Tribolium castaneum: one gene and its partners. Each later gene encodes a partner of the first gene's protein in a complex. Links are inferred from orthologs where the notes say so. Each region holds a gene or a part of one and is shown in the gene's direction. Other genes may lie near its edges.

What was found.
Region 2: Sf3b3 (region 1) and splicing factor 3B subunit 4 share a complex: the UniProt entries of both Homo sapiens proteins name them as parts of the SF3B subcomplex of the 17S U2 SnRNP complex. The link is inferred for Tribolium castaneum from reciprocal best matches to the Homo sapiens genes SF3B3 and SF3B4.
Region 3: the proteins of Sf3b3 (region 1) and ATP-dependent RNA helicase DDX42 are in contact, whole or in part, in a cryo-EM structure (PDB 7EVN), measured with the Homo sapiens proteins. The link is inferred for Tribolium castaneum from reciprocal best matches to the Homo sapiens genes SF3B3 and DDX42. Residues at the interface, in NP_036558.3 of Homo sapiens: Glu159, Ala160, His161, Tyr211, His219, Val220, Val221, Arg222, Lys223; in NP_031398.2 of Homo sapiens: Lys145, Gly146, Ile147, Arg148, Asp149, Asp150.
Region 4: Sf3b3 (region 1) and Prp5 share a complex: the UniProt entries of both Homo sapiens proteins name them as parts of the 17S U2 SnRNP complex. The link is inferred for Tribolium castaneum from reciprocal best matches to the Homo sapiens genes SF3B3 and DDX46.
Region 5: Sf3b3 (region 1) and zinc finger matrin-type protein 2 share a complex: the UniProt entries of both Homo sapiens proteins name them as parts of the spliceosome B complex. The link is inferred for Tribolium castaneum from reciprocal best matches to the Homo sapiens genes SF3B3 and ZMAT2.
Region 6: Sf3b3 (region 1) and Prp38 share a complex: the UniProt entries of both Homo sapiens proteins name them as parts of the spliceosome B complex. The link is inferred for Tribolium castaneum from reciprocal best matches to the Homo sapiens genes SF3B3 and PRPF38A.
Region 7: Sf3b3 (region 1) and noi share a complex: the UniProt entries of both Homo sapiens proteins name them as parts of the 17S U2 SnRNP complex. The link is inferred for Tribolium castaneum from reciprocal best matches to the Homo sapiens genes SF3B3 and SF3A3.

The regions. Positions count from the first base shown.
Region 1 is NC_087394.1:10,470,372-10,474,368, reverse strand, and holds the start of Sf3b3 (splicing factor 3B subunit 3), read left to right. Parts: upstream 1-1,197; 5' UTR 1,198-1,481; intron 1,482-1,749; 5' UTR 1,750-1,762; coding exon 1,763-2,199; intron 2,200-3,997. UniProt on the Homo sapiens protein: Component of the 17S U2 SnRNP complex of the spliceosome, a large ribonucleoprotein complex that removes introns from transcribed pre-mRNAs.
Region 2 is NC_087395.1:2,316,564-2,320,616, forward strand, and holds the start of splicing factor 3B subunit 4, read left to right. Parts: upstream 1-1,253; 5' UTR 1,254-1,401; coding exon 1,402-1,435; intron 1,436-1,500; coding exon 1,501-1,584; intron 1,585-1,634; coding exon 1,635-1,909; intron 1,910-4,053. UniProt on the Homo sapiens protein: Component of the 17S U2 SnRNP complex of the spliceosome, a large ribonucleoprotein complex that removes introns from transcribed pre-mRNAs.
Region 3 is NC_087399.1:9,771,953-9,776,004, reverse strand, and holds the start of ATP-dependent RNA helicase DDX42, read left to right. Parts: upstream 1-1,252; 5' UTR 1,253-1,469; coding exon 1,470-1,885; intron 1,886-4,052. UniProt on the Homo sapiens protein: ATP-dependent RNA helicase that binds to partially double-stranded RNAs (dsRNAs) in order to unwind RNA secondary structures. Unwinding is promoted in the presence of single-strand binding proteins.
Region 4 is NC_087399.1:718,979-723,154, forward strand, and holds the start of Prp5 (probable ATP-dependent RNA helicase DDX46), read left to right. Parts: upstream 1-1,376; 5' UTR 1,377-1,514; coding exon 1,515-1,528; intron 1,529-1,593; coding exon 1,594-1,767; intron 1,768-1,815; coding exon 1,816-2,654; intron 2,655-4,176. Other genes in the region: bug (thioredoxin domain-containing protein 15), read left to right, coding at 259-298, 347-1,092. UniProt on the Homo sapiens protein: Component of the 17S U2 SnRNP complex of the spliceosome, a large ribonucleoprotein complex that removes introns from transcribed pre-mRNAs.
Region 5 is NC_087395.1:20,717,154-20,719,737, forward strand, and holds zinc finger matrin-type protein 2, read left to right. Parts: upstream 1-1,210; 5' UTR 1,211-1,327; coding exon 1,328-1,927; 3' UTR 1,928-1,976; coding exon of another isoform or gene 1,977-2,042; 3' UTR 2,043-2,084; downstream 2,085-2,584. Other genes in the region: uncharacterized protein LOC656218, read right to left, coding at 1,977-2,042, 2,090-2,282. UniProt on the Homo sapiens protein: Involved in pre-mRNA splicing as a component of the spliceosome.
Region 6 is NC_087396.1:19,988,207-19,991,223, reverse strand, and holds Prp38 (pre-mRNA-splicing factor 38), read left to right. Parts: upstream 1-1,388; 5' UTR 1,389-1,554; coding exon 1,555-2,022; intron 2,023-2,068; coding exon 2,069-2,464; 3' UTR 2,465-2,517; downstream 2,518-3,017. Other genes in the region: vacuolar fusion protein MON1 homolog, read right to left, coding at 2,600-3,017. UniProt on the Homo sapiens protein: Involved in pre-mRNA splicing as a component of the spliceosome.
Region 7 is NC_087397.1:5,206,220-5,209,950, reverse strand, and holds noi (splicing factor 3A subunit 3), read left to right. Parts: upstream 1-1,177; 5' UTR 1,178-1,320; coding exon 1,321-1,416; intron 1,417-1,468; coding exon 1,469-1,675; intron 1,676-1,724; coding exon 1,725-1,797; intron 1,798-1,854; coding exon 1,855-2,168; intron 2,169-2,217; coding exon 2,218-2,354; intron 2,355-2,402; coding exon 2,403-2,742; intron 2,743-2,793; coding exon 2,794-2,995; intron 2,996-3,044; coding exon 3,045-3,178; 3' UTR 3,179-3,231; downstream 3,232-3,731. Other genes in the region: NF-kappa-B essential modulator, read right to left, coding at 1-902; neuropathy target esterase sws, read left to right, coding at 3,619-3,723. UniProt on the Homo sapiens protein: Component of the 17S U2 SnRNP complex of the spliceosome, a large ribonucleoprotein complex that removes introns from transcribed pre-mRNAs.

The DNA.
Region 1 (3,997 bases):
TTTTCATAGCCAACTACTTTCAAATGTTTTAATATATTTTTATCATAAATATACAGCGTGCTCAAAAACTGGCGCACCAACTCAATGGTGTGTGATAGAGAAGTGGTTACATATAATGGTAAAAATAGTAAAAAAATTCTTTGTATTAAAATTATTGATAAATAACTAATTTTAAGTAATTGATATGTGGCAACGTTGTCTAATAGTCATGATCGCAATAGAATTTGAGCAACAATAAAAATAAATTATATTTGAAACGGTTTCCTAGGAAATAATTCCCAGTGTTGGCACATCTACACATTGTGATTTTTTTGGATAAATTTTAATTTTTTTATATTAAAAAAACTGCTAAAATTTGATAGTAAATTTTAAAATAATTGTTAATCGTTTTGTTACGGAACGATTACCTGGTATGAAAAATAAAAATATAAAAAAATAATAAAAACTAAAGAAATTAACACAATAAGTTTGTAGCTCCAGATTTTTTAAAATATAACTTTAGGAATTTTTTCAACATTTTTCCCGTAATCTGCACTTGCTTCTCAATAACGTACCACTGAGTTGGTGCGCCAGTTTTTGAGCACCCTGTATAAAAACATCAAACTATATTTATATTGTTTTGAGTTCAGAAAAAAAAAGCTTTTCGAAAATGTCATAGCCAACTATAATTCTCATTTAAAAAAATAAAACTTTATGTCATTACAGCTAAGCGAATGAGTAAAAAAAATCGCTGCTAACATTATTAAATTCTCTGTAAAAAAGTGCCTGTATAATGTTTTTGTTTTAAATATGTATCTTTTATAATAAGGAAGATATGATATCTTTACAATAACTTAAAATTTCATCAAACAAACGCATAAGACTATTACTGTAAATTGCATTGAACTAAAACTCTGAAAATTGTCCGGAAAATATGGTACAAAACAATAAGCTTTTTACTAGAATTTGGATTCTTATTTGCCTCAAATTGAGATAAACACAATCAAGTTCTAAATACAGTACCTACAGTACGGTAAAAACAAAAGATACATACTGGCAATATCAAACGCATAAATTGTTAAAGTATAATTTTGGCCAAAGATAATTTTCTGAAAAATTTATTTAAATTGAAATTTCCTCTCAATTTTCTGATTGGTTTAGAAATTTTGCGCTTGCGTAGTAAAAAATATAGCCAACACGCACGCGCAGTAGCACTACATTTCTTCTTTCCGTTTCCTTTCTCACTTCACCGGTGTTTGTGCGTTATTTTGCCGGTCTGTCGCCATTTGCAGTTAGTTTTTGTACTTTTTTGCTAAATAATGTATCAAAACATTGCAAAAGGTGCTTTATTATTGTTTTTTAATTAACTTAACCATCGACAAAAACGCTCAAATAAATAACCAAGTCACCACGTCACAACAATGTGAACCATGCGAAAATCGAAAATAAATGGTTGAAAAACTTTGAAATATTGAACGAAACGAAGCTCATCCACGTTCAAGGTAACAAAATTTAGCTTTGATTTTGTTTTATAATTAATCACAAGTACGTATTTTTGCCCAAATTAACGAGTTGCTTTAAAAATTTGTAATCGGATGCACTTGGTATCTCCTGTACCTATGTATTGTATACGTACAGGTCGTAAAGGGTGCTATATTATGGGGCACATCGCATCGTTGGCTCAAGCGAATTACCAAGCTAAAGCCTGGTTTTAGTGCCCCACATTTTCAACTAAAAAATGATACGTTCTAACCTCACTTTTCTTCCTAGATAAGCCCCCAAAATGTATCTCTACAACCTGACCTTACAAAGGGCCACAGCCATCACCCACGCCATCCATGGCAATTTTTCCGGCACCAAAATGCAAGAAATTGTCATTTCACGTGGCAAAAGCTTGGAAGTGCTACGGCCTGACCCCAACACCGGTAAAGTCCACACGCTTCTAACCGTCGAAATATTCGGAGTCGTCCGCTCGTTGATGTCGTTTCGACTCACCGGAGGCACCAAAGACTTCGTCATCGTGGGCTCCGACTCCGGCAGAATCGTTATTCTTGAGTATATCCCGTCTAAAAACAACTTCGAGAAGGTCCACCAGGAGACGTTCGGCAAATCGGGGGTCAGACGTATTGTTCCAGGCCAGTACCTAGCCACTGACCCTCGAGGACGTGCTGTAATGATAGGCGCCGTCGAGAAACAAAAACTCGCTTACATTTTGAATAGGTACAAATTTTTTATTAAAGTATTTTTGTTCTGTAAAAATTAATGAATGCACAAAAAACGTGCGGTCTTTATTAGTTAGTTTTGCGGAAAACTATTTTAGAAAGTTATAATTACATCTGCATCTGAGTGACATTTTTGGAGTGCGATTTGTGCAAAATTGTAAGTTTCTGTAAAAGAAAAAAAGTTTGTGCTAAGAAAACCCACCAGAAACTCAATTTGCGTTACATTTTACTCCAAAAAATGCAAATACGTTTTTGCAAAATTCTACGACCTGAAATGGGATATACCTACTTAATTAAAAACAAAACGAAATAGATTACCACAATTAAAGAATACATTATCAAGCCCCAGTGAGTTTTGTGTCAAATTCGAAACTTTTGTATAGTTTTACTGTATTAAAGAATGAATTTTGTAAAAACAAATAGAAATTGCTGTTTAAATTTTAAATGTGACAGTGCGGGAAAGCTATTTTTAAAATTTTTGGCAATCAGTTCTGCATTTAGACGGCTCGGATAATCCGTACGATTCTATTAACCGAACTCCCAAATTAAGTAAAATAGTATACATAATCCGAATTACCATTCATTTATTTTGACTTTTAATTATTTTGTCGAAAAAAGTATTTGTTTAAAATACACTATCGGACAAAAGTAAGGCAACATGTTGAAAAATATACAAATATTGGTATTTTAAATTTTAAGAGTTGGTATTTACCTTCAATTTAATTTTATAATAAACGTTTAAAGATATTCTTATTCGTGTTGAACATGGATAGCCAATGGGTAATTATTATGACATGCTACTAGCTTGAAATATAAAAAAGCCCGATATTAATGCGACAAAAGTAAGGCAACATTGTCAGAAAATATTTTCAACTCAAATTTTATTTGATTCAACATTTACATAACACTACCCAACACTAAAGTTTAAATAAATAGAACGAAAAATTCAATAATTTATGACATAGCCGTTATTAAGTATAATTTTTTGGCACCGTCTGGGCATTGAAGAAATTAATTTTTGAATAACATTTTCATCCAGATTTGACCACACTTCTTTGATTTTATCTATCAAAGATTGCTTGTTGGGAAATTTTTGTATCCGGATTCGTCGCTCTACCTCTTCCCATAAGTTCTCAATTGGGTTGAGGTTTGGTGATTGGGCAGGCCATTGCAAAACATGAATATTATTATTTTGGAACCACTCACTGACCAATGCAGAAGTGTGTTTGGGGTCGTTATCTTGCTGAAAGATAAAACGAAGAGGCATTTCCCATTCTGCATACGGCAGCATTACATCTTGGAGTATGTCCTTATGGATGAACCGATCCATATTACCCCCAATAAAGCTCAACGGACCCACACAATTCCACGAAAAACACCCCCACAGAAAAACGCTACCATGACCATGTTTAACAGTGGGTGTAACATACTTGGGGTTGAATCGTGTATTGATTGGCCGTCTCACACGTTTCATTCCATCCGAATTAAATAATTTGTATCGAGTTTCGTCACTAAACAGAACTTTCCTCCAATCTTGCTTTGTCCAATTCAAATGTTCTCTTGCAAATTGAAGTCTGGCGCGTCTATTTCTTTCGGAAATCAAAGGTTTTTTAGCAGGACGTCTACTAAAAAGCTTTGCTGCAACCAGTCTTCTTTGAATTGTTCGTGTACTAACTCCTACTTCCGGTATTTCCGCTATAATTTTAGATGCAGATTTCCATGGATCGTTTTCCGAAATTCTTTTAATGCGTCTGTCCATGTTTATAGTGGTTTTTCGTGGTCGTCCCGATTTTGGA
Region 2 (4,053 bases), on another chromosome or scaffold:
CCTTATATTAAATCCAAAGCTATAGTTCATTTTTTTAAACAATCAACTGTCAGTGTCAAAATTCTAATAAAGACCAGACTGTATCACCCTAAAAGTTCATGTCCAACCACTTTTGAAACTGGCTGTATTCTGTATTTGACATTTTGAACACCAGATTTGAAATTTTTTGAAAATTGGACGTTAGTGTTAGTCGTTAATTCGTTAGTGTAAAGGTGGTCTAAAATAACTAAATGTGTTGTTGTACGTGTTTTAAATTAGAGAGAACTTGAAAAATTTGGCAAATGAATTTTCCAGGTAAAAAATTACACCAACCTTAATTCAAAAAAATTGCTATTTATGATAATGGCAACCTGACAGCTCTTAGACAGTTGATTATAAAAAAAATCGACTATTTTCGGTTCACTTTCATAAAAACCATTGTGGTGGAATTGACTAACCTGTTACCATGACAACTCATATAAAAGTTAATGCCAAGAGTACCAAATTTCCACCACAATGGTTTTTATGAAAGTGAACCAAATATATTTTTTAATGCGTTTTTGCATTACTGGAGTTATTTTAAGATAGTTTATATAAGCTTTCCCTATATTTAATCGTTTACGAAATATTCAGGGTTTTTTTTTTGGATTTGTACCTTCCAGTTTAAACATCGATAAGTATGCCATTTTAATTTTGCTTAATTTATTGTTTATTCATTTTGATTCTTTTCAAGAATTGTTTATACAGAGTGCTCAAAAATTTGCGCACCAACTTGGTGGTACTTTGTTAAGAAGCATGTGTACATTCCGGAAAAAAAATTGAAAAAATTCCTTAAGTCGTATTTAAAAAAATCTGGAGCTACAAACTTATTTTGTTAACTTCTTCAGTTTTCATTATTTTTAATGATTTTTATGTTTTACACTAAATAATCGTTTCCTAATAAAACGAATAATTATTTTTAAATTTACTATCAAACAGCAGTTTTTTGAATGTGATTTCATCAGAAGAATCACAATTTGTAGATCTGCCAACACTGGGAATTATTTCCTCGGAAACAGATTCAAAAATAATTTATCTTACTTATTGAATTTTAGAAACTTGTTTAGTTTATAGTTAGGGTCAAAAATAACATTTTAAAGACATTAAATCATCAAAAAAATTGGTAATAGTATGGTTTCTTTTTTTGGAATTGCATTTTAAATACAGCGCTAGTTTTGCCACTATTGCGCCATCTTTCCACCAATAAGGCGAGACAGTAGTGAAACGCGGCCGGCTTTAAAGATTCTTACAAGCAAAGAAAAGTTTGCGTCTAAGGTTTGCGTATTTGGTTCGTTTATTTATTTAATTAAATAAGCATTCTTTTATCAAGCGATGAAGTAAAATTTTGCTATTAATACATTGAGATATATCCATTTCATAATCATGGCTAATGGACCGATTGCTGAACGCAACAGAGGTAAGTTTTCGATTACTTAACCTCACAAATTCCAATAAGTGCCGGTGTTTTTTGTGTTTTTGCAGATGCAACAATTTACGTTGGTGGTTTAGATGATAAAGTTACAGAATCGTTATTATGGGAACTGTTCGTCCAATCTGGCCCCTTGGGTAAGCATAATTTTTGTAATAATTTACAAACCAATTTTTGTCCATTTTAGTCAACGTTCACATGCCCAAAGACCGCGTAACAATGATGCACCAAGGCTATGGTTTTGTGGAGTTCATGGGTGAAGAAGATGCTGATTATGCCATAAAAATAATGAACATGATAAAGCTTTATGGAAAGCCAATAAGAGTGAATAAAGCATCAGCCCATCAGAAGAACTTGGACGTGGGGGCGAATATTTTTATCGGGAATTTGGACCCCGAAGTGGATGAGAAGCTGCTTTATGATACATTTTCGGCGTTTGGTGTTATACTTCAAACACCTAAGGTAGGTCAGGGATGCTTATTTCAGTCTGTTGTAACAAAATTTTAAATAAAAACATAATTTAGTGTAAAAATACCATTTTCGACTAATTTTATTGTTTGTTTGGTGATATTGTTCAAAAAAGTTGTGTTGTTAGTACAAAAACACTGTTAAAGGCCAAAACTAACTATAATTTTTGGCTTGGTTTGATACATCTATGACCGATTTTTAACGAAAACTTGGGACATTGTTTTAAGTGACAAACGTGTTAATGCAAAAATTGGTATTATAAAATTTACATTACATTTGAAAAAAAAGTTAAAGGTGCCTGCAATTGACTTGTTTCCGGAATTTTCACAAAAATCGTATGTACTTATCAAAGTAATGGATTTTATACTTGTTAAAAATTCCACTCTGTATCTAATTCTGTAACTGACATTGGCATACCAAAATTTAAGCCACTATACAAAAATTCTTAACGTCGGAAGTCAGTGTATTCTGTCGCTCCTTTACATTTGCGTAAGTGAGAAAGAAATAAAATTTGGGAAATAATGTTGCTTAAAACCAGTTAACATAAAATTTATAGTTTTATAAATGATAATAAAGAATGCATGTTAAAGTGAAGGTATAATAATAAAATTGCAATTGTGCATTATTTACTTTTTTATCGAAGATACACTAAGTTAACATCGATAAAAGCGTTGTCTCAGCTAAAACTTTCGAGCCTGATATCTCAGATATTTGTCAACGGATTTTCATGAAATTTAAAATGCAGATATTTTAGAAGATAAAGATTAAAATCCAATTAATGCAAAAACTCAAGTCTTAAAAACGAATTTTTACATGCCTTTTTAAAATGTTAAGCCTTTTAAGACATATTAAAAAATTTATCGTCAGTGAAAAATGCTGTCAGAAAAAACTCGTTCGTGGAAGACATCTGTTTCGCGAGAAAAATGAGAAACAAACTGTTAAACGTGGGTACAGATGCAAAAGCGTAGATCTCTATGAGACAAATGAGCACTACCATCTCTCACCCATACAAAGTTAAAAAACAATATTTTTGACTTACTTTTGGTACTGGATGCTTTAATTCTTTCAAAAAGGACGAAAAGACTGAACAACAACTGAAAAATTCTAGACACTTGAACATTCAGGACTTTGGAAATGTTTCGTACACTGCTGATTGGATTCTCTTCAAAAGCTTGAATTACAGCCCCAACTATTGCTTCGTTTCCAGTGACGTGTTTTGTACTCACTCGATTTAGTTCAGGTACGCTTCCTGTGTCTTCAAATTATTGACGATTCTTTGAACTTGAAATTTCATAAATAACATTTCACAAAAAGTCCAACGACACTTTCCATAGGCGAATATTGATTCCTTTTTCAACAACACAGAAATCTCAGCCATTGGTTGGTTTTTAAAGTAATTTCACCAAATTAAAACAATTTTACTTTTCTGATAGCTCGCAAACTTTTGACAGTTTTTTTCAGTGGTACACAAAATGCCGCATAGAAATGCTTCACCAATTGTTTCAAAAAATGACTGCCCAAATTACAATCAAAATTTGGATTAAGTTTTTAACAACAAAATTAATTTCTTTCTTGGATCAGCCGATCGATTTGGTTAATTTTTTGTGTGGTCATTTATTTTTCGGAGTTTAATGATCCAACGGTAATTTGGCTTTATTTTAAACAAAAGAAATGTTTTAAAATTTCATTTCTTAACTTGAGGTCATTTTTTGCCCCTAATTGAAAGACAACCTCCTAAAATATGTGCATTCTAATTTGATAACAATCCGGTGACAAATAACGGAATTGTATATTGAAATGAAATATTGCTTTGTAACATCCTTCATGGCCTTAATAATTATAGACATATGGTAGCGCTCAGCTCCATTTGCGTGTGCGTCATCTGACATTTCTGTCACTACGTTTACATAGCAGGGGCATAGCGGTGACAAACTATCAAATATTTTTTGAGGTTACGAAGTGTTTAAATTATGAGTTGTTACAAAAAATACAGATTCACAAAACAAGAACTAATAAACGCAGAATCAAAAACCTAACGAAACGCAAATCACAAAACACAATAAACGAACAGAAAATACTTGTGATTAACACCGATAACATTTTCGACAACCAAGCGACGACGTCTGTAATTTACTGTC
Region 3 (4,052 bases), on another chromosome or scaffold:
GCTGTCAGTGATCAGCTGACTGTCAGGGACCTAACCTCTAATCTGTGACCGGTGGAAAAAATTCCTAGATGGATTTTTTTAAAAATTGGGTAGACATATATTAAAAGTCCCCGAGGTTGGGGGGCGAGCTCGTGGAGGGGGAGGAGGCTAAAGTTGTCTTTTTTTGTTTTTTTGCCTATATCTCGGAAACGGTCAGTCTAGCAATTTTTATCTTCTTACCAAAATGAAAGTTAATAAAATTTCCTACAAAATGGTCCTAGCCTTATTGTTGTAGGATTAATCGTAAGCGAGCTACTAGCTTTTGAAGTTTGGTGTTCACATGACACTATAACTAAACATTAGTATATAATAAGTCTTTACATGGAAATAGTGTGTGTAAAGCGTCTCCCAACTAAGCTAAGAGTAGGAAATAAGGGAGAAAAAACTTTTTTCCCTCGGGCTCTTCAGTTGAAGTCCACAATTCAGCATCTGAAGATGATCCAGATGAACTGTTGGACTCAATTCATACAGTGTATTATCAGATTTATTCATAACATCTACATTAAATCATCTATTTATTAATATTTACTGAATAAGACTGTAATTCAGTTTTCAATGTTGGAGACGAAGACGAAAATGCAGCATCTAAAGACGACTCTGAAGACTTCTGTGACCCCCATGTCTCCCCCTTTCGACTCTAATGAAGTGTTGGACCCAATAAATTCAGTTTATTGTCAGTTTTTCAAATCACAAGACATTTTCTTTTAAAGCATTTTTTTTAAATGATTATTTCTTTCCAGACCTATAACTCGCTTATAGTTAGTCGCACAAGAAAAATGCAAATAACTTTTTTGTAGGAAATGCTATCAGCTTTAATTTTGGCAAGAAGATAAAAATTGATAGGAGTAACAGTTTCCGAGATATAAGCAAAAAAACAATAAAAGACTGCTTTAACTCCCTCCCCCTCCTCGAGCTCGCCCCCCAACCTCGGAAACTTTTGATAAAATATATCTACCCAAGTGAAAAGGAAGTTTTTAAAAAAAAAACTCCACCGATTTGTCTAATTTGACTGGACTATTGAAAACGAATGTTTTCACGATTTTTTCTGCCTTTCTTGAAAATCGGGGTGTTTTCCTTAAAAAAGTAGCTGTGTTCAATAGGGGCCTTCTTACTATTATCCATTTTTTCCTAGCAAATCTGGTTCTTTTTTTTGTCCCTGTTTCTTTTTCTTTTTGTGACACCTTGTATATTTATGTGATGCGTATTTTAGTGACTTTCACTTCCGTATTGACAATGATGGCAGCTTTGATTGTCAACTTGTTTGACATTTGTGCTTCTGGTGAAAAAAATTGTTGTTTTTGCAAATTGTGCGTCGCTTCTAACTTTATAAGTGCATAAAAAATCAAACAACATTTTCACAAAACAGTATGGTTGCCATTCAGGGGCCGAACTAGTGTTTTTGTGTGTGTGGGAGTTCCATAACCTCAATCATGAGTGGCTTCAACTACTCTGGTTTCCAAATGAACCAAAAGCGGCATAATGCCGTGCCGCCGCCCCCCATGAGTGGCGTAAGCAAGCAGGGCTATTCCACTATGAATGCGATAAGTCAGAATGCCTTATCTGCTGCTTGGGGCGGTAGCCGCAAACGGGCTGCCACCGAGGATGAGTATTTTGAGGACGATGAGGAAGAAACTGTGCCAGATCTCGCGTACATACCTGCCCCCGGCAGCCCCACGCGTGTCGAAACCAAGAAACAAGAGGTGCCAAACGATGATGATGATCCTTTAGATGCCTACATGGCAGGGATTGAAAAACAGATGAAGTCGGAGAAACCGGGCAGTTCGTCGCAACCGACTGGGGTTAGGAACGATTTGGAGGAGGAAGACGTTGAAGAATCGTATTATAGGTAATTAAATATCAAAACCCACAATAATAATTAATAACATAATTTTAATAGATAAAAAGGCAAAATAGTTTCAGCTTAAAGGCCTAGAGAAAATAGTGCCAAAAATACTCAGATACTGGAAGTATGTAAGCAAGACTTACCACAATTTTAACACGTACAATACGCCTAAGTTTATGCCCTTTTTTAGAAAATTTTGAATGGCAAAAGAGAAAACATAAAACTAAATTTTATATTGACAATTTCATAATGAAAAGTATTACGTTGAACATTAGTAGAATGATAATTTTCCTTCTAACATACCTAAATATTTTCTGGATTGGGTTCATTAGTTGTTATTATTATTATTATTATTTTGGTGGAACTATGGCTACATTGTGCAGTCGATGCATCTAATAATTCCAGAAAAACAAAATTTGCTATTAAACCTTTTCAAAAAAAAAAAAATTAGTCACTTGTAAATTTTTCTGCGGATTTGTCTAGTCAACTGCTATGAATCATAGCCCAAGAAATTTTGTGCTTCCAATGAATTAAAATTTTCGCGATAATAAGCTTATTTTTAGTAACAGAAAAAAAAATACCAAGCGGTTTAAAATAAAAATCTCTATCGATTGGCCGGTGAGTTTTTCATTTTGAAGTCTTAGTGTCTTTATACGTGTATTAGTCCGAAATCTTGTTTATTTAAATAGCCATAATTTATTAAGCACTAGATTTTTTAAAATTTTCTAATGGCCATTTTGTAAATATCATTTCTAAAATACATTGAGTTTTGAAACGATGTTGATATCTTTTCGAATGACCTAATTATAGCCAGAATTCTTTTACATTGAAAACGCCATAAGACGAATACGTTTGAACTAGCCTTAAGGCTATTAAAATTAAAACTCACTCATTACGAATAACATCTAACTACTCCAAATTTCTAGGAAATTTATCCCATTCGTTAAAAATTTGGGATTGATTCAAAGCCAATGTTTCTTCGGCTATTGCTCGATACTGAGCTTTGTGATACACCCATAAAATATTGCTGAATTAAAACCTAAACATTGTTGAATACACCTGTCAGTTCAGTAAATGCCAATTTACCTTAATGCGTATATTCATTGCAGTAGAACGAGTTTGCTGTTGCATAAAAGGTTCCGAAATACTTATTACATATTCAGCTAAATTTTTCGTTAAAAGAAAATGTTTTTTTTTGAAAATTTAATCGCTTAATTGTGAAGATGGATTTGGCTCCAAAAAAATGTTTTCTTGACTGCTGTCTTTCAAGTTGTTCAAGAAACAAATATTTCTTAATTTTCTTAATTAAACATAAGTAATTAATTTAGTTAATTTAACATAATTACCTAGTATCAACCATTAATTTTAATGCAACTTATAAAGTTGCCCGACATGAACTCGTATGATTTTTGAGGGAAATTTGATGCACACACATTTCAAGATTACAAAAATTGATATTTGTGCATTAAGATGCACCGCTGGAAATTGTAGAATACACTCCCAGGACATTCATGTTGAGGATCTTTATTATGTATCAGAGAAGCAGAAAGATTGTGATCAGATTTGACTATGGTTATGTTAAATTGTTTGTATCTTTTTGTAAATTGAAAAAAATTGACCAAAAATATTGTGAAATGTTATTATCGTATTACTTATTAGTTTGGGTAACCATAAAGAGAGTAACACTTTGCCGGAACCCAAAGAGACTTTTTTGTTTGTTGTTTCATTTCATCCGAGATTTTACTTTTTGAAATAATTTTTGTAAAGAGATATTTTTTATAAAAAAAACAATTGTCAGTACTTTTAAAAATGAGAAAAATTTATTTTTTAGTGGAAATTTATTTTCGTAAGAAATAAATTAATTATTTATCTTTTACCGGAAACATTAGGTGTTAATCTTGGTTAACGTACGGTCCCTCGAGGCTAACGGCCCTTTGGATAGCAAATTTATTGCCCGTGGTCATTAACACCCTTATATTTCCCTTGGTATATAAATAACTATTAATTGGAGTTGTATGGGTTAAATTAAAAGTGAACTTATGTTTGACTATTTGAACAATGTTTTTTAATTGTATCGTGAGGAAAACCACAGATATTTGATAATGTTTAACTCCTTTTTGAAGGAGTGATAAAGAAAAAGGGCGCTAGAAAAAGCAGTTGAGTGAAACCA
Region 4 (4,176 bases), on another chromosome or scaffold:
TAGCCTCCTTGATGTGAAATACAAAACTTATTAATTAACTTATTAATAAGTCTATACAAACGCAAGTTTAATAAAAAATTAAATTTTAATTTAGTTATTGGTATTAATTTCACGTAATTACAAAATAATTACGATTTCAAGATAATTTGCGCCGAAATTTGAAACGTCGGCCATCATAATTCGCCCGTTCTGTATTTCTGTATCGCTTGTTTTAACCCAACCAAATCAATAATTCGAAATGATAAAATAAGACACGAAATGGCTTTTTCTGCACATTTTTTCACATTCCTCGCGATAAGTAAGTGCCCCCTGATGATGTAACCCCATTACGTAACACTTTTTTTAGTCATAACCTCACACTTGACGTTATGTCAGGAGCCCGAAGTTGTGGAAGACATCTCCAGCAACCTCACCTCCTTCACCAACTCCACCCACAACGCAACTCTCACAAACACCACTGAATCATCCAGCAACAAAACCCTCAAACTCGTGCAATGTTTGCCCGATTTTGGGGCCCCCGAAGTCCAACTAGTCAACGACACCGAGCTCATTAAACTCCTCTTCACCCAGAGCAACATCACGAGCCGGGACACCCCCGCCGGGTGCATCCTAGTGCTGTTCTACTCGAAATATTGCCCGTTTTCCAGCATGGCAGCCCCCCATTTTAACGCTCTGCCAAGGGCTTTCCCCGATATTAAAATGGTGGCTATCAACGCGCTGGCTTATCGGTTGTTTAATACGCAGAACGGGATTGTGGGGGTTCCCACGTTAATGTTGTTTCATAACGGGAGACCCGTTGCTAAATTTAATGAGTCGGAGTATACACTTGAGCTTTTTTCCAAATTTTTGGCCAAACATACGGGGATTGCGGCTGCCGAAAAGTCAATTGTGACCTCGGCTGATTTCAAGGGGCCTGTCACCAGTGTCCCTGCGCGCGAATTTGATATTTTTTTGATCATTTCCTGGGTTTTTATTGCTCTGTGTGGGGCTTATTATTTCACGAAGTCCAAGTGCTGGGGGTGGATTGTTGAGACCATTCAGAGCAACTGGAGGGAGTCGGAGGCACACGCCCAGCATGAGCATGCCGATTAGGCCCTTTTTTGTTTAAATAAATTATTTTTATTGAATTTAATTGCGTTTTATTTTGTTGTGTGTTGAGTTTGTACTAAAAAAAGAAAATTGGGACGGAAAAAAAGTAAAAACTTCCATATCTTTTTTTTTGATAACATTTTAAGCCTTTTTTTAATATCTAAATCCTAGTTTTAAAACACGTTACCCATAGCAATATTTTAAAATAATTTTTTTGCCTAAAAGTCGCAGTTGGTATTTCTACTATCTCGAAAAATCCCCAAGCATAAACACAAAAAACACCAAATCTGGGGATTTTCGATCACTTTCTTTGTCAGATTACAGAAAACTGTAACCGTGTAAATAAAGATTAGGTTATGTTTGGGGCACAAAATCTTACTTTTAGTTGATTTAGGTCCAATTTTAAGAAAAACTAAAGACTTACGATGGTTCGGGGCGGGTAAGTGAAGCTATAATAATTTTTTTTGGCCAAATTGTCTAACCAAACTTTTGCCCCTTTTGAAGACGCGACAGGAGCCGTTCTCCCGACCGGAAGCGGCGCCGTTCGCGCTCCAGGAGCAAAGACAGGTCCAGGTCTAGCCGCCACCGTCGAAGTAGGTCCCGAGAGAGGCGCAGCAGGTCCAGAGACAGGAGAGAGCGTGACAGGCGTTCGTACAGTCGAGACCGAGACCGTCGAAGGTTTGTTTAATTTTCACTTTTTCCTGGATTAAAGTTGGAATTTCTAAGAGGTGACAGTAAGGAGAAGCGCAGTTCTGGCAAATCCAGACGTCGGGACAAGTCCAGGTCTCGCTCCAGATCCACAGACCGGAAGAAGGATGATTCAGGTCTGGCTTTTGATCCGGCGAACCTTGACAAGGAAGAAGAGCAAAAAAAGTTGGAACTTGAGATGCAAAAACGCCGCGAACGCATTGAGCGTTGGCGCGCCGAACGCAAGAAGAAAGAGGAAGAAATGAAGAAAGATGCACCAAATGCAACCACAACAACTGACGAAGCCACTGCCAAAAAATGGTCCCTAGAAAACGACTCCGAAGACGAGGATAAAGACAAAGGCGAAACGAAGGAGGATCAAGTCGAGGAAGAAACAAACGGGGAAGCACCGCCACAGGAAGAAAAACAAGAAGCGAAAGAAGAGAAAAAAGAAGAAGAAGAAGAAGAAGAGGAAGTCGATCCTCTAGACGAGTATATGAAAGGAGTTCAAGAAGAAGTGAGAAAGACTCACAAACTTGACATGAAAAAGCCCAAAACCGAGTCCGGGAATAAAAAAGGTGCCTTAGTTATTGTAACAGGGGTGGCCAAATCCAAGGTTAATAAAAACAAAGGTGAGTTGATTGAGCAGAATCAGGACGGTCTGGAGTACTCCTCTGAAGAGGAAATTGAGGACTTGAAAGACACAGCTGCGAGTATTGTTAATAAGCAGAAGAAGGAATTGGCGAAAATTGATCATAACATGGTTAGATATTTACCGTTTCGGAAGAATTTCTACGTAGAAGTGCCCGAAATTGCCAAGATGACGCACGAAGAGGTGGAGGCCTACAAGGAGGAGTTGGAGGGGATTCGAGTCAAAGGTAGGGTTTTTGAGTTGAATGCAAGGTTTTTTCTACTACTGCCTAAATAAAGCAAAAGTTGTTTTATTATTTAACACCCAGTGTAGTACAGTATAATCGTCGATTATTATTAATTAATTTTTAATAATTCGTGGAAGAAAATTGTTTTTCAAACAGTCGACGATAAATAATGATTTTCTGAGGCAATGTTTGTTGACTTTTAATGTTCTTTATTAAATAGTAGGCATTGGTAAAAATACATATAAAAAATAATAGGGGGGAACAAAAATATCTTAATAAAAAAAAGAACAATACAAAAAAAGAACACAAAAGACGGATGAAGAGGCGAAGTTGTGACACAGGTGTTCCACTTAATATTTAATATTAATTATTAAAAATTATAAAATAAAATGAAACTGAATAATTAATAACTAAATAAAAATTGTCTATCGACAAAAACAAAGAAACAAAATAGAAAAAGAAAGAAAATTTAATACAACATAATCGGAACCAATTATGGCAATATTTTGGAATATTTATTGTTCGGTTGACTATAAAAATACATATTCATTAATTTATAATAATTTGTCGGAAAAATATTTCAAACAGTCGACGAAAATTGGTAAATTAATTGGAAAAACTAATTTATTTAATAATTATTTGAAACACCGTTTGTTGACCTTTAATTAATGCTTTATATTAAATAATAAGTATTGGTAAAAATACATATAAAAAATTATAGAAGGATTATAAGAAAGAACAATATAAAAAAGACAATAAATGGACGAAGAGGCGAAGTTTTGTCACAGATATTCCACTTAACATCTTAAAATTTAATATTAATTATTAAAAAATATAAAATGAAAAGAAACTGAATAACTAATAACTAAATAAAAAGTGGCAATCAAGCAATAATAATTAATTAATAATTAATAATAATTATTACGAAAATAACATTCTTTAAGAATAGATTTTTATCTATTATCAATCCCAGACTTTTAGTCAAAGAGAAGCTGGAAATATTTTTGAAATAAACAGCTTTCATCTATTTCTGTCTTAATATTTGTCAACATTACATAATCATTCCTTTTGTAAGATCAAATTTCGATAAACTGTGATTTTGTGTTTTGAATTTTTTTTCTAAACACAAATTAAATCACATTGTCGGCCGGCCATTACAATTATTCATACACATCGAAGACGAAATTCTAGTTTTATGGGCGGGACCTGTTTATCGTCTGATTTGTCCCCGACTAATTTATCTACGGCACAAAAAACTGCAACACGATTAAGGTGTTTGCCATTGGTTATTGATGGACTAATGCGCTCCCAACTACAAAACAGGCCAATCACAAGGCGATTAAAAAGGCGACAAAAACTGGTTTTATTATTGGGTGCTACTTTCCCTGATTTCTAAGAATTGCTGCTGAAAATTGCAAGCTGAAACTACAGAGCAAACAATTTAGCGACCAAACATTTACTTTTTGTAATTGATTATTTGGTTAAGAAATGATGTTTTTTCGCGCTTTTGCTTTGGATGCCG
Region 5 (2,584 bases), on another chromosome or scaffold:
TAGTTTCGCCATAATCGGCTTTTTAAAATTGATATTTTTTTTAATATCACCTTAATCACTAAATATCACCTTGTTCCACTAAAATTTTTTGCAACTTTGCATTTTGCATAAATTGCAAATTTTAAAGTTAATGTCTTCCACCAATCTTTGCATTTGTTTTGGCATATTTTTGTAAAAAGAAGTATTTTTGCTAAGTATATTTTTTGCTAAGTGTGCAAAATACTGTTGTTGGTGGAACATAAAGGTGTTCGGGAACGTGCAAGCGCAAAGTGTAAAAGTCGTTTGTGGAATAGAGCCCACATCAGAATTTTCTGATAATGTAATAATAATAATATTACTCAAAAGTTGGCAACAATCGTATAATTCTATGTTAGCAGTTACGGTTTTAAATATTGAAAGAATTTTATCATATAATAGAAAATACACCTTGAACTTTATTTTAAAAAATTGGTTTATAATGTTTCACAGCAATTAATACTTGACCACATTCAAAATATCAAATGGTAGCGTAATTAATTGTCTAGACTAAGAGCGCCGGTTTACAAAACATTTTAATTGCAATTAAATTTTAATCGCGGTTAACTCGACATTTGTCAATGTATTTAATGCTACTTAATTTGAATTAGTTTAATTTTGAATTAAATTCAATTTGATTTTTTGTAATTTAAATTAATTTAATTTATTTGTACTCGACTAGAATATTAATTTTTGCTTCGACCATAAAACTTGGAACACTCTGTATAATTAGTTGCGTAGGCTGCCATTTGAATATTGTGTTGCCTACCCAAAATAATAATTTGTTAAAAATTTAAATTTTTTGAGTTATCCACTTTTTCTTTGGTATTTATAACTTATAACTAACTCATAACGTAGTGGTAGTTTGAACAGCCACAGACTGAAAAATTGCAAACGAAAGATTCTGTGAATTAGATTTTAAAAATTAATAAAAAAATTGAAATAAATAACTAATTGTCTTGATTACGGGATTTTTTTGATCTTTTCCCATCTTAAATTTTTAAACAGGTAACCCAGCTAACTTCGTTAGATGTAATAGCAGAGTCGAATAACCAAAAAATTAAAAAATCTATTAAGTATTCTATGAGTTTAATGAATTCAATTGTAATAATCTAATGATATATATAAACATCCTGAATGGCGCAAATTCGCAATTTATTAGAAAATGAACCTTTATTCTTATGAAGTTAGCAACATAACCTAACCTTGAAAATTTGACAGCTGTCAATGTGTACTGCAGTTTGTCAACACTGTTATTGTACTTGAGTTTTTATTAATTGATTGTGATCCTGCTAAAGAAAAATCATCAGAAATGACTATGCGACCAGACGACCACCGCCGAAAATGGGACAGGGACGAATACGAGAGGTTAGCCGAGGAGCGCAAGAGGGAAGAAATCGAGCGCCTCGAAGAAGAAACCAAGAAAAAGAAAGGCCCCCCGGTGAAACGTGAAATGCTAAAAACCCGAGAGTATAAAGTAGACCTGGATTCAAAGCTTGGCAAAAGCATTGTAATAAACAAAAACACACCAACATCACAATCGGGGGGCTACTACTGCAACGTCTGCGACTGTGTTGTTAAAGATTCAATCAACTTTTTGGATCACATCAATGGCAAAAAGCATCAACGAAACTTGGGAATGTCGATGCGGATCGAACGCAGCAGTCTGGACGCAGTTAAACGAAGGTTTGACCAAAACAAGCGGAAAATGGAGGAGAAGAAAAAAGATTACGATATGGCAGCTCGCATGCAGGAAATTGCCGAAGAAGAGGAAAAGCTACGCGAATACAGGAGGGAGAAAAGGAAAGAGAAGCGAAAAGCTGAGGAAATGTTGGAAGAAACATCTGAACAAGCAAGTGAGCTTGCTAGCATTATGGGATTTGCAGGTTTTGGATCGTCTAAAAAAAAGTAGCAAAATGTCTTTCAATACCTTTATTACAATAATTTAGATTTGTTGAAGTTTAAATAAAAATCAATATTATGCTAACTAGTAAGTGAAGTACAGTTGGAAGAATCATTGTGTCAGCCTGTAAAAAATAATTGTAAATGAAATAAATGTGAAGGAACAAGTTGCCTTATTTTCTTTTTTCATATATTCCTCAGGCATTGGGTCCTTGACTTTGGGCGTCTCCTTCACATTGTCACAGCTTATTGTGAGAATACTGTCAATTATCGACTGTAGAAGTTCTTTAGTTGTTGCTGCAGCGCTGTTTCCACACACTTTCGCAGTTTTGATGTAATAACAGTCAGCTATGTCTTTGTAAGCCCTGAAAACAATTAAATATTTGATCAAAGAAGCCCATGATGTTAAATAAGTTTCGTAACACTCAAAGGTAACATGTAAGTACTATTAAATTCAAATGTTAATTATATTTTATTAAGTTGCCGTTGCACCAAACTTGATTGCATATTTTCAACTTTTTAGCTCCAAAACTTGTTGAAGGCTTGAAAAAAGTAAAAACAATATTTTTGGCTAATTTGGCGATTTTTTCAAAGTTCGTAACGAACTTTTCGATGTAATCGCGTTAAAACGCAGTGGCGTGTGGTGTGAAAATATCTTTATTTTTTG
Region 6 (3,017 bases), on another chromosome or scaffold:
AAATTCGTTTAGTTTTATTTTATCACGGGTGGAAGCGGCTTTTCTGCGAGCGAAAATATTGCAGTCATGCCATTATTCCCCCCGATTTTTCTTGTTAGGAAGTTCGGCCTAAATCTTGTTATATTTAGATAGTGCCAACTGTCTTGTACAGCATTTTGGTCATTAGGTGATTCATGTAACCACATCTAAACATCATTCTCATGTGGAACAATAACATGCGTGTGACATTTTATGTTCAGTGTATTTCTTGTGCTTCTTTTGGTTTTGTTGCTTATGTCCGACTGATTAGAAACAAAATTCTAGCATAGTTGAGTGTAAAACTTTGTGATCCAATGGACTGAAATCTTAGGATGTGTTGGATTCGTCATGTATACAAAAATTTGCAAATATTTTAACGAATTTAATATTTTTAAGGGATAAATTGTAAATAGTTAAAATTTTATTTGATAAGTATTTATTATTTTGTTATTAATATACGATATATACGAAAACTGCAATTCTGGAAACTTGTACCTAAACAAAAATGAGAAAAACGAGTGTGTTAGGAGCATTATTTTATATTGTATTACAAACGTATATTATAAATAAAAAACTTAAATCATTGGAAATAAATATTCACGCCCACTTTTTAAGTTAGTTGGAATGTTTATCGGGCTTAAACAATCTAAAAAAATATAAAAACAAAAAATTCTTCGAAAAATAACTTATGTATATAGTCCACACGTTTGCTGCCTGTGTTTCACTGTTATTGTTATTGTATTCACTCATTCTGTTATTGTCTGTTTTCCACAATACAAACATTGCAAGACTTTCTACAGCAGTTGATTTTCAATTTTACTCCACTTCGAGGTGGTGAACGTGTTAAGTAATAAGTAAATAGACACTAAATTTATAATATACTTCTCAACAAACATAAAATAGACAAATAAAGCTAATGCCTAACTGTCTCAATGTCATCAATAAAGTTTTTAAAACGATCGCAAGTGTTTGAATCACCCAATCCCCCAAAAAGCAATTTTACATCTTTAACAATACCATCGATACGCTCATTTGGATGCGTTAATAATTTTCTACTTGCATAAATACTATTTATTAAATTATGAGCGTTTGTTCATGTTTAAATTAGAATGGTGTCTGGTGGTAATAACCAAAGTTACCAAAGGTTGGCACTTTTTGTGGGATTCCCACCCGCGAGTCACGCCTGGGGACTAGACGATATTAGCAAATAAGTTTTTATGAGAAATTCGGGAAACGTGAAACTTGTTTATTATTGAAGAACTAAATTGTTTCATACGTGTACTATTGTTTAATTTTGTAATGTATAACCTTAGCCTGTATTTCCTAATTGGATTATTCACACAGTATTATTTGTCTGTAATTTTTTTCACAATGCAAAGCAAAAAGTCTGATAAGAGCGAACCATTTTTAACCTCACTTTGTGTTTACTACAAGCGTCAACAATTTCTTAGAATTTATTGATAAACTGTGCATTTCTGTCGAATTCAGTTGTGCATAAGGTGCGTTAGTGAGTTTACAAATTAAATTAGGCCAATTATGGCAAATAGGACCGTAAAAGATGCCAAATCAATCCATGGCACAAATCCCCAGTATCTGGTTGAAAAGATCATCAGATCGCGAATTTATGACTCTAAATACTGGAAGGAGGAATGTTTTGCCCTCACTGCAGAGCTTTTAGTAGACAAGGCAATGGAATTACGATTTGTGGGTGGTGTTTATGGTGGCAATATAAAGCCAACACCATTTTTATGTTTGACACTAAAAATGCTACAAATTCAACCAGAGAAAGACATTGTAGTTGAATTCATCAAAAACGAGGAGTTTAAATACGTCAGAGCCCTCGGTGCTTTCTACATGAGACTCACAGGGTCGTCCTTAGACTGTTACAAATATCTTGAGCCTTTGTACAACGACAACAGGAAGTTGCGGCGACAAAATCGCCAAGCGCAGTTTGAAATTGTACACATGGACGAGTTTATTGACGAATTGTTACGAGAGGAACGAGTACGTGTTTTTTTTGTTACGGTAGATAGTAAAATTAATTTTTAAGGTTTGTGATGTTATTTTGCCACGCATTCAAAAACGCATTGTTTTGGAAGAAAGCAACGAACTCGAAGCCAAGATCTCGGCCCTTGAAGACGACTTGGACGAAGAGATTGAACTTGAGGAAGAAAACAAGTACGAGTTGGTTGAAGAAAAGCCCAAAGAGAAGAAAGAAAGGGAGAGGAAGCGGGAACGCAGCAGATCCAGAGAAAGGCATCGCAGTCGGAGTAAGGAACGCCACAAGAAGGAGAAGGACAAGGAGAGGGACCGCGACCGGGAGAAGGAGCGCGATAGGGAGAGAAGAGACAGGGAGAAGGAGCGCAAGGACCGGGAGAAAGACCGCGAAAAAGAGCGAGATCGTAAGGATAAAGACAGGAAACGGGAGCGAGACAGACACCACTGATTTTTCAATACATCGTTTTATACAATCAATAATTAAATACATCAACAAGTTTAGGATTGTGAATATCACAGATTAAGCCTATACCTTAGATTTCCACAAAATTTACATATTTATAATATATACAAATCAAATGGCTCAAAAAGTGGGCGCATTGAGATGAAACAACTTCTCCTCCCTTTTCTTAATCCAGTTCAGCAGCCGCCCCACTGAGTTAATCGCACTGTTTGTGTCAATCAAGGGCTCGAAAACTACATAAAGCTCAAAACCTCTCGTATCCCACGCCAAAATCGCCTCGTCTGAGTTTTTCTCAAATAACAACTTTAGCGGCCTCGTCGAGCAATGCAACAAGTTATGCGCCCGTTTGTACAACTTTGTTAGTCTCTCGTTATATTTGGTGTACGGTGGGGTCAAGCTTGGTTGGTAGAACTGTGCTGTACTTTTGCATTTGTACAAATAGTGCCTAAGTTCGGGGAAACCCGCAACAATGCAAGTTTCTTCTTTCGCACTCAGCGACTCATTGATTGCTTCTAAGCAGTTGCTGCGTCGCAGTTTT
Region 7 (3,731 bases), on another chromosome or scaffold:
AGTTTTGCGTTTTCTTTTGTTAAATTATCCAATTTTGATTGGAGGTCGGTGGTTGTTGTCTTCATTGACTGGATTTCGTCAATTAGGTCGCTTTCGCGATTTTTTGCGGCGAGAATATCCAGTTTAAAGTCGTCAATTTGTTGCTGCTTGGTTTGTAATTCCTGTTCAAGGTTCGGTACATTCACCAATTTTTGCGTCAGTCTTTCAATTTCTTCCTGTTTCAGTTCTAAATCCTTCATCATTGCTAATTTCCTTGTGTCAACAACTGAAAAGTTGGGGCCGTTGGTCAAATTTTCCAATTCCTTAAGCTTCAGTTTCAAATTCAAGATTTCTTCTTCATGGAGCTTTTTAAGATTGATGTAAACTTCAACGTCACTAACCAACTTTGCATTTTCTTCTTTATACTTATCTATGCACATTTTGGCATCGTTGAACTTATCTTTGTAGGACTTCATCACATTGGTGACCTCATCCCTGTAGGCCAAAAACCTCGTATACTGCGCCTTCATACTCATGTTATTTTGTGCGATGATATTCTTCAACTTTTCGTTTTCCTTAATCAGTTCTTCCACTTGTTTTTGAATCTCTTCATACGACGAATCCGGCGATATTGCAATACTTGCAACTGAGGGCACAATCGCATCAACAGCTGCTGGTAATTCTGGCAACGGATCAACGGTAATTTGTGATATTTTCATCCTGATTAGATTTTCCATTTCGTGAACCTTATTTGTCCTTATTGGGGGCAAGATTTCGTCCCTTGGAGGGCTGCAAGACAAACTTTCGCTGATGGAATTTGAAGTTTCCAAAACGACAAATGAATCTTCATCATCGGACCCGATTGACGGAACCATGGACTCTGCAGTGTTTTTCACAGCAACGAAGGACTCGTCACGACTCATTTTTGATGACTTTCAAGTTTTAACAACAGCTGCAGTACAACACTACATTTGCGGCGCAAAATAGAATGAATTAGAACATAGAATATGAAAATACCAAACTACTGACACACGATTAAAGACACTGCTACCAACCGGACCAATAAAAAGTCGCCTTAGCCTTAATTTAATTTTTTAAGAATATTAAAGCTCTAAAAATGTTATTGTGGCATAACTATTTACGTAAAATTTCATTTGGGACACAACTGTAGTCGTAAAAAAATTGTAAAGTCAAAGAAAAACCGCTTAGTGATTTTCTAGTGTGACAATAATGGTGCACCTCTCTCTTATTCTACGCTGACATTTTGTCATTTTTTGACAGTCGACATTTGATGGCGTCGGGTAAATAAATAATTTTCGCAATTTTCTAAAAAAAGTCGCAATGGAGACGATTTTGGAGCAACAACGGCGTTATCACGAGGAAAAAGAGCGTCTCATTGACGCAATGGTTAAAGAAATTTTACATAAAAAAACAACGGTAAGTTGTGATTCTCGTGGCGCTTTGCCCCCTGACAGAGTCTTTGTTTTAGTACCGCGAGGCAATAAACTCGGACTATCGCCTTAAATTTCTGCTAGACAAATATATGACCTCCACTGATCGTTTGATTGAGCTGTATGAGGACAAGGACGGGCAAAGAAAAGCGGAAGTCGCTGCCCTTACAGGTCCAAATGAGTTTCAGGAGTTTTACAATCGTCTCAAGCAGATTAAAGATTTTTACAGGAAGCATCCTAATGAGGTATAGTTTTTGAATATTTTGTGTGTTTGTGTAATGATTTTTTTCTCAGATAAGTATTCCAATGTCTGTTGAGTTCGATGAACTAGCCAAAGCGCGTGAAAATCCCACTGAAGAAATGGCAAGTGAGTCTTGCTAGGCTCGTGTGATCACAGTTGTTTAATTACGTTTGTTTTTTCAAGATTTGGTTGAATTTACGGATGAGGAAGGTTATGGGAAATATTTGGATTTGCACGAATGTTACGAGAAATATATCAATTTGAAAGGCATTGAAAAGGTTGATTATATCACATATTTGGGCACTTTTGACCAGCTCTATGACATTCCTAAAGAACGCAAAACTGGAGAATATCGCAAATATTTGCTTTGCTTGATTGAGTATTTAACTTGGTTCGTGCAAAGAGTCAAACCTTTGATGGACATTGATGCTGATTTGCAAAACGAAGTTGATAATGTTATGGTCCAGTGGGAGAATGGGACTGTTCCAGGATGGCCCGTAATTTGGTAAAAAACTAATTTATTTTTACTACTTCATTTACTTTCAGAAAGAGACAGGGTCGGCCTTGGCGAACGTTGGGGCCCATTTAGACTTGTCCGCATTTTCAAGTTGGGAGGAATTGGCTTCTTTAGGTTTGGACAGATTGAAGTCGGCCCTAATGGCTCTTGGTTTAAAATGTGGCGGGTAATTATTTACGTCTTGCCATAAATAAAATTCTAATTATTTATTTAGGACGTTGGAAGAGCGTGCCCAGCGTTTATTTTCAACCAAGGGCAAAGGCTCACTAGATCCGTCTCTAATGACTAAAAACAAATCTGGCAAAGCCAGTAAGGAAAAGGAGCAAATGAGACAAAGAGAACTGGCCTGTCTTGAGGCACAAGTTTATAGGTTGGCCGAGCTGGTCGCCCCTCAACGCGCGGCAACTAAGGAAAATGTCCAGAGAAAACAAGCGCGGACGGATGGTGAAAGAGACGATAGTGAAAATGAGGAGAGTGAGGAGGAAAGTCCCGATGAAGCCGACGATGACGTTCCCTACAACCCCAAAAACTTACCTTTGGGCTGGGATGGAAAAGTATGTGATTTTGAAAGTAAGTTGGTAAAATTGATTGTTTCGTAATTGCAGCCGATTCCATACTGGTTGTACAAACTCCACGGTTTGAATATCAGTTACAACTGCGAAATTTGCGGCAATTACGTCTATAAAGGACCAAAGGCGTTTCAAAGACACTTTGCGGAGTGGAGACACGCTCATGGAATGCGCTGTCTGGGAATCCCCAATACCGCGCATTTTGCCAACGTGACGCAAATTGAGGATGCCCTAGCACGTAAGAAGTTGCAATTTTGGTTTCTTACCTTGTTACGGTTGTTTTCCAGTGTGGGAGAAGCTCAAAGTGCAAAAACAGGCAGAGCGTTGGCAACCTGAAACAGAGGAAGAGTACGAGGATTCGCAAGGGAACGTCGTTAACAGAAAGACTTACGAGGATCTTAAAAGACAAGGTTTATTGTAATTTGTGCTGTATTAACAATAAGTATCAATAAAAAACATAAACAAAACTTTAAATATTGACATTTTATTTTGATGGTCGCCTTGGGAAGGGGAATTTTCGACTGTTCGTTAGCACGAACGTACAAAACTGAGCCCGAAATAGGGATAGAGAGAGTGAAAATTATTCCTGTTACTTAAGAAATTATTCAGTAGTTTCTGCGTAAATAAATAATAATTTAAGTACTCATTTAGCGTGTTTTTAGAGTTCGGTTGAATGCACAGTCGGCTGCAATTTTTCTCACTTACCGAACGATGCGCATTTGTTTGTGCCTGTGATTTGACCAGATTTGACTTTGACACATAAGTGGGTAAATTCATCCAAATAGGTTTGTGATTTTATTCAACCTTTAATCACTAATTCTTTAATCATCAGAGTCTAATTTCTATAATGTGCGAGCTAAAATGGACGTATTAAATGCGGTATACAACTTAAACAATGAAGAAACCCTCAAGTCCAGTTGGTTCGGTGAGGTCTTCTCGAGTTTTTCGACTCAAGAGACGTACCAGGTAAGAAA